Linked DNA regions of Neurospora crassa OR74A. Each later gene encodes a partner of the first gene's protein in a complex. Links are inferred from orthologs where the notes say so. Each region holds a gene or a part of one and is shown in the gene's direction. Other genes may lie near its edges.

What was found.
Region 2: NCU03150 (region 1) and NCU08960 share a complex: the UniProt entries of both Saccharomyces cerevisiae proteins name them as parts of the large ribosomal subunit. The link is inferred for Neurospora crassa OR74A from reciprocal best matches to the Saccharomyces cerevisiae genes RPL24B and RPP1A.

The regions. Positions count from the first base shown.
Region 1 is NC_026501.1:4,728,889-4,732,599, forward strand, and holds NCU03150 (60S ribosomal protein L24), read left to right. Parts: upstream 1-1,257; 5' UTR 1,258-1,416; coding exon 1,417-1,467; intron 1,468-1,730; coding exon 1,731-1,874; intron 1,875-2,105; coding exon 2,106-2,381; 3' UTR 2,382-3,119; downstream 3,120-3,711. Other genes in the region: NCU03149 (tRNA-specific adenosine deaminase, variant), read right to left, coding at 1-76, 168-453; NCU03151 (peroxisomal membrane protein), read right to left, coding at 3,120-3,296, 3,365-3,567, 3,681-3,711.
Region 2 is NC_026505.1:5,823,335-5,827,075, forward strand, and holds NCU08960 (60S acidic ribosomal protein P1), read left to right. Parts: upstream 1-1,502; 5' UTR 1,503-1,628; coding exon 1,629-1,697; intron 1,698-1,939; coding exon 1,940-2,017; intron 2,018-2,122; coding exon 2,123-2,258; intron 2,259-2,349; coding exon 2,350-2,396; 3' UTR 2,397-3,209; downstream 3,210-3,741. Other genes in the region: NCU08959 (hypothetical protein), read right to left, coding at 1-48, 119-332; NCU17037 (hypothetical protein), read right to left, coding at 805-1,251, 1,308-1,502. UniProt on the Saccharomyces cerevisiae protein: Component of the ribosome, a large ribonucleoprotein complex responsible for the synthesis of proteins in the cell.

The DNA.
Region 1 (3,711 bases):
GGTGTTGGGGATGGGACTTCCCAGGGCGAGGCGTCGTCTTGGGCGGCCATGATTAGTTCCATGCTTGCGTCCCCGCCTGGTAGATTGGTGTGTTAGTAGTCATGGGCTTTACCGGGGTCGAGTCGTCTCTGGTGAAGGGGGGGTTTGGGCAGCGGGGACACACATACAAGGCGCTTCGGAGCAGTACATGTGTAAGCTCACATCTTCCCTCCAGGCGAACGGTTGTCCTTGCCATACTTCTGCTGTTCCTTGCTGTCCTTGGTTTTCATGTTGGGTTGTTATCCTTCGGTAGATGAACTCGGATTGCGATGCACCATCCCCCTGAAGAGCGAGGCGTTTACACTCTTCGAGGATGAACCGGTTGAAAGCTCGTATAGCAAGTATCTCGGCGTGCCAGTCATGAATGGCCACTCCGTTGGCTTGGGGCAGCTTGGATGCCGGAAGGCACTTCATACCTGTTCTATGACCAACAAACCATCCTTAGCTCCAGCAACAGACTTATCTTGCGTGATCATGAGGCACATTGGACACTTCAGTGGTCCCGGCGATCCATTGTACGTACTTACGCCAAAGCTACACATTTCAGTCCGTTTGGGCCTAGAGATTGTATCAGTAAAGAGTTTGGATTTCTTCCAGGCACATAACGAGCAGCACCTTTGGCTACAATGCCGGCCATAGGAACCCATTCGTGAAGACCATTGTCGCGGACACTGGGCTTCCGTTTCGCGGGGAGTTTGCTGAATTCTTCAAGCACAGCAGAGGCAATTGCGTCTGCATCAATCATTATAACTTTGCAAGTTAAGGTCGGTGTAATTTTGACGTTTTCGTATGTTTGCATGCGTTGGAAAGAACGACTTGACTTGGGACAACCTCCAAACTTTGATGATGAAGCACTTGTCGTTTGACAAGGGTTGGGGTTAGCCGTTGACAGCCAGTTCGTAACGTGGAAGTACGGAAAATCAATGGAGCAAACCGCATGCACCAGACGCAGAACGCAGAACATAAAAATCACACAGGTTTTCAGACGGAACTCCGAGGTGAGTGTACCTTGTTCATGCAAATTACAGTGGTGATGCTTCGCGACCAAAAAGTAAACCAGATACCCTTCGTTCGTTCCGCACTTGTTAATGGTAAATTGGGCTATAGATTTGCTTGAGGATGACGTCCTACAGCCCGGACCACCTGGCAGATAAGTGGCGGCGATTGTTCCTGCCCGCGTTGCCAGCCCGCTGCCAGCCCACTTGAGCCACCCCAACGCTGAAGTGGACCACATGGTCCGTGCGGCCAGCCTATCACAAGGCAGCCCTATCGCACAACCTCGCTGCGGAAAGAAATTGAGGAAAATCGACGCTGGAACATTGCACCTTCGAGGAAGCATCTCCCGACAACCGACAATCTCGACAGCAAACCGCCACAATGAGAACGTACGACGATACCTTCTCCGGCCAGAGGATCTACCCTGGAAAGGTACGGTTTTTTTGCCCGTCCAAAATGATTTGCGGCTCGAAAATGCTACCGGGATCTGAACCCGTGGGGAATTGGTCTTGGTCTTGGATTTGGGGAGGGAACGACTTTGCGAGAGCGAGGGAGAGATATTGACGGATCTCGTTCCCGCGACGTCAACGATATTCTGATTGAGGGGGATCATGAAGGACGAGCCAGAACAACAAGAGAAGGGAAATACAGCCACCGTGATAAAAGTGCTGACATGTTTTCTTTGACACCGTTAGGGTAAGCTGTACGTCCGTGGCGACAGCAAGATCTTCCGTTTCCAGAACGGCAAGTCCGAGTCGCTTTTCCTCCAGCGCAAGAACCCCCGCCGCATTGCCTGGACTGTCCTCTACCGCCGCCAGCACAAGAAGGGTATCTCTGAGGTACGCAAGAAACCACATATCCGCACTCGGGCCCAATCTTCTTCCCCCGTTGCGCACACCGTCACCAGCCCCCTATTCTACCGATTCTGCCGAAGCAATATCGAAGACTTCGAGACTTCGACGGAGAGGGATATCGCGAATACGGATACTTTGGACGCACGCGCAACTGGGTGAAGGGGATCGATGGGGGGGAAACCGTTGCGCGAAGCAGATGACTGACACCCATTACAGGAGGTCGCCAAGAAGCGCTCCCGCCGTACCGTCAAGGCCCAGCGTGCCATCGTCGGTGCCTCCCTCGAGGTGATCAAGGAGCGCCGCTCCATGCGCCCTGAGGCCCGCTCCGCCGCTCGTCTCGCCGCCATCAAGGAGTCCAAGGCCAAGAAGCAGGAGACTCAGGCCGCCAAGAAGGCTGAGAAGGCCAAGAACGCTGCCAACCCCAAGGCCCGTGTCACCTCCAAGCAGGGTGCCAAGGGTGCGCCCGTCAAGGTCGCTGCCAAGTCCCGTTAAATGCGGTCTTGTCGGTCGGGGGACACGATGATGTGAAGGGAGAATGGAATGTCTTTACGGTCCTGCGTGGCAAGCTGGAAGGGATACGCGGAGTCGGTCTGGTCGGTTCTCGGTTCTTTTTTTTTGCCTGCACTCAGCTGGAGGGTTTTCGTCTCGTTTAACGAAAACAATACAACAGCTTGGTTTCTGGAAGGGCCGGTTGCATGGATCCCTGCGTCTAACGGATATGACATCAAACGCTTTGCATGGGTAGCTTAACAGAATGCCGACTTATGCATTGGTCAAAGACGAACAAAATCCATATCCCACCTCCCTGTGATACTAGGGAGGCGAGAAAAAGTTTTGGGGCCGTTGGGACGAAGGAACAGGGACCTGGCAATCATAATATAACGCTGCGCTTCAGCGGGCAAAAGGCATATCACGCGGCTTCTATTCTCTATACCTCGTGATACTCTATCAAGCAAATACCCAGTCACAACAAGAGTATCCCGCGACTATCATCGCGTTCCCCTTGACATTTGTTTTGGTTCCTATTACTTCTCTACTTGGTGTGGTGGGTAAGTCTAATTAGGTAAAGCAGGTATTGAACACATATTGTCTGTGCAAAAAAGTGCCTGGCAGGGGGGTTTCTACTTTTGCTCCCAACCACAGTATATGAGTTTTGCCGGTGTAGATGATTACTGTTTGCCTTTGTTTTGTTTCTTTGCTTTGGCTTTTCCATGCCCCCTTTTTCTCTATTTAGAGCTTAGCCAGGACACCGTCGGCACCAGTGTTGGCGATGCTCTTAGGCACCTCATCCAACTCGGCGTAGGTAACCTTGCCGTGGTCGATGACAATAGCATAGCGCTTGGTGCGGTCACCCTGGGTCCAGCCGATGCTCTTGCTGAACTTGCAGTCGGCATCGGACATAAAGAGCTAAACATTCGTTGCGTGTCAGTTAGGTGTGGTGAGGGGGGGCAGGAGGGACATGAATTATTACTTACAATAGACTCATCTTTAACACCGTTGGCCTTGCCCCAAGCGGCCATCACCCACGCATCGTTGCTGGCAATGAAGATGATTTGGTCGACGCCCTTGGACTTGAACTCCTCGAGCTTGGCCAGATACGAGGGGACGTGCTGCTGCTGGCAGGTGGGGGTGAAGGCACCGGGGACGGCGACGAGGACGACCTTCTTGTTCGCGAACGCTACGTCGTGGGTAAGAGATTGCGTTAGTATATAGATAGGTGTGGAGAGAAAAAATACAAGTCAAAGATGATGTGAGGGTTCCTTGTGAGTGAGCCATGATATATTTACTTGCCTTTGCTGGCATCATACTGGATGGGAAGACC
Region 2 (3,741 bases), on another chromosome or scaffold:
TGAAGAAGAGGGAGAGGAGCTGTAGGCAGCTCTCGAGGACTCTGTCGACTACGGGGGTGGTGTTAGATTTTCCTTGTTCAATTGGCAGCTTGGGATGGGCTATGGAGGATGGGCGTACCTCTGGTCTCGGTCACCTTTTCCCCTTTCCTAATCTCGTTGAGTTCCTTGACCTGCTCGACAACCTGATCATAGTGTACAATCACATCCTGAGTGCGGATGTATTTTGTTCGGTCTCTCTTGAGGAGCAGCAGCTGATCGCGGATGGCTGAGAGCTTGTCGAGAATGGCTTGTTCCCGCTCATCTTTCGGCATGGGCATCGCCGGAGTCTCCATTGTCGCTATGTGTTTATTGTGTTGTGTTGTGTTGTTTTGTGTTGGGTGTTTATGGGTAAAAGTCGGTGAAGTCGGTTGCGATGTCTGAGAGTTGGCTCGTTTTCGTTACTTGGATGATGCCGTTCGAGGGTCGATGTTGGTTGAAGGAAAAGAAAAGGCGCGAAAGGATTGTTGAGAATGGGAAAGACGCAGCCAAGCAATTGGGAAAAGGATGGTGTTGCCGGAGCAAGGGAATGAATGTTGGAAACGGGCGATTCCTTGTCCAAGTCCAGCTTTCTTTGATCCAAGGAGTAGACTTGGTCTATGTAATGTAATGCGCCTCAACAATGGCAAAGAGAGCGGGATGCAAGTTCAGTTGTTTGTCCGGTTGATGGCGTTTCTCCAAGTACTATGGTATTTCCCCTTTCCGACGGAGGAGTTGACAAGAGTGATGAACGCTGCCTCCTGATTCGTGCGCTTTCCCTTGTTGATCTCACTCTTGTTGGTTTTTGCGGAATTGCTGGACTGAGTGCTGAAATAGGTGCAGATGGATGCTTCTCAGAGACAACCCGACGGGACGGGCTGGCGTGTCGGCAGGCACTCCGCTACGGCAGGAGAAGAGGCCTATGGCGCCCCGAATCCACAGCGGCGACGTCAGTGGATGCATGAATAGCGGCGGGGCGAAGGAGCTCCATGGTAGATAGTGTAGTGCCAAAGGAATGGTGGGGTTCTTGCCGACAAGGGTCGAGGCCTGGCGGAAAGCTTGTCGGACCAGGGCACTCGTCTTGGCAAGGCTGGGCGCCAAACTGCCCGGCCTGAATCGATGAGGTGCTTCCCCAAATTCCAGGCCATACACTATGGTCAACTGGTGGGGGAACATCAGTCGTCCCGATCCGGTACAAGTGCGAGGGACGGCAATGCCCTGGAGGCCAGCACGTGCCTGTTGGGCGGTAGCGGCAGTCAGGGCAGCACTGCCCTGCACCCAGTCCTACCTACAGTACCACCAACCCTCGGGTTCGGGTTGCGAACTGAACCGCTGGTTTGGACCGTGACATCGTGGGGCTGTTGCATTTCCATCTCCCAGCGTGCACAGACCAGGCAAAAAGCAGAACGGCAGCTCAAAAGAGTCTTGGCATCCAAGCCGCTGCCAGTCGCTTGCCAGCTGCCCGCCTTTGTAGGGTCCCAGGGCATTTTTTGAATTGCCCACAACTAATTAAATTTCACTTCCCGCGAATTTCTAGCTAGGACATCATCCCACGATCGAACAGCCCTCCCGAGACTCAGCATCTTTGCGCCTCGACAATCAACACCATCAAAATGTCTACTGCTGAGCTGGCTACCTCCTACGCGGCGCTCATCCTCGCCGATGACGGCGTTGAGATCACTGTGAGTTTGCGACCAATGCACATGATCTTTTGGTTGGCAAGATTTGGGTGGATTCGGGGTTTGGGGACAGTTTCAAGCGCGCCATGTACACACGGTTATTGCTCGACATGCGCTTTCAACGACCGGGACAAATGACGAAACATGGATTGAGGGGCAAACCGAGTGGAGGACAATGAGTGATATGAACAAGCACATTGGGAGGAACAATGTTGACTGACCAAACCCGTTTTCGCATGATATAGGCCGACAAGATCCAGACCATCATCAAGGCTGCCAAGATCGAGGATGTCGAGCCTATCTGGGCTTCCCTCTTCGCCAAGGTACGATGAAACCACCGACGACGACAATCCGAAAAAAAAAAGAAACGATATCTTGAGAGAAACGCGAACACGATAAACTGACTGGAGTCTCTTTTGCGAAAATAGGCTCTTGAGGGCAAGGATGTGAAGGACCTCCTTTCCAACGTCGGCTCCGGTGGTGCCGCCGCTGCCCCCGCTGCCGCTGGCGCCGCTGCCGCTGGTGGTGCCGCTGAGGAGGCCAAGGCTGAGGAGAAGGTTGAGGGTATGTGGAATCATCTACTCCCAAGCTCTTTCCCGGGGCTGTTGCTGCTGCTGCTGCTGCTAGTTACTAACCTGCGTTTTGCACTTTACAGAGAAGGAGGAGTCCGACGAGGATATGGGCTTCGGTCTCTTCGACTAAGCGAAGAAAGGGGGCTTTCTTCTGGTTTGGTCATGACCTCTCGTTTCCAATTTGTTCTTCCAAAGCTTGCATGGGTCTGCGACGGTTTCTCGCACATACGACTTCGGTTATGGGAGGCTTATGATATCAGGGGTTCGGTTCATCGGCGTAGCTTTACACGGACAATGAAGATGCGCTTTTGAGCAAAAGAAGTAAAAACACTTGGAAGCTTGCTCTCCACTTGTTGAAGCGACGGATTTCCACCGTAGCAGACATCCGACTCTACGACCGACAGCGCGCCCGGATCTTGATGGTCGATTGATACCCGGACCTGAGGTTCCTGCTCACCGTTTTGGAAGATGAGCTGGTACAAACTCAAGAAAAGGCAGATAAGACAAATTATCTGTTACTGATTCCAACTTGGGCTAGTGTTTACGACTCGTGTTTGTTTACTTTGTCATGATACGACGTCATCTTCACCTGCGTTTCTTGAAACCCAAACATCACCCCGAGTTGTCAACACAATCTCCGTTTGCGACGCGCTCCAGTCGCGTTCACTTTGATTTCGCACAGCCTCGTGTGTACCTTGCTGGCCATGACTCCATTCCCATGCCAATCTCCAGATTCGTATCCCACTGATCCCAGACGTAGATCTTATCGAAAGTCAACAGCGTGCCTGGCGATAAGATAAGGGGACCAGACGCAAACAGTACAGCCTTATGTCAACACGGATGAAGGCTCACAGTACAGGCGCCGAATCAAAGTCGTCGAATATGTCGTCTCTCGTCCCGCTTTATGACGATCCTGCGATATAACTTTGTGAACCCTAGCTGGAACGTCTTCTGCCGTGTCTACTGCAGATGTGGGTTCATATACTTGATAAGATAAGGGAAGTTCATAACGGAACCGAAGCTTCAAGCACCATCACTGAAGACACTCGACCACACTGCTGGCTTACCAAAAGTATGTTTCTTGTTAACTCTTCATAGATATCCATTCCACCTTAACAGAGCTGCTTATGCATAAAGATAGAGAAACTCGTCCGGTTTGCCTAAAAAACGACTGGGCTGAAATCATCAAGTTAACCGCCAAACCACAGTTAAGAGAACCGCCCATGATGATGCATCCTTAATTACCCGTCTCATCTCTACATAGTAGACCGTACACAACTCGATATGCTTCCCCCTCGTTGGAGGCATGTTGGTTCTTCATGCCTATTTTCCGCAACATCTGCATGCAGTCAGTAATACCCAAATGTCTTTTCACATTTCACTTCGCAGCCAGGACAGCAAACGGCAACGGCAACGGCAACGGCAACGGCAACGGCAATCAATACAGCTGCTATATCGCCTTTTGGCTGACTGAC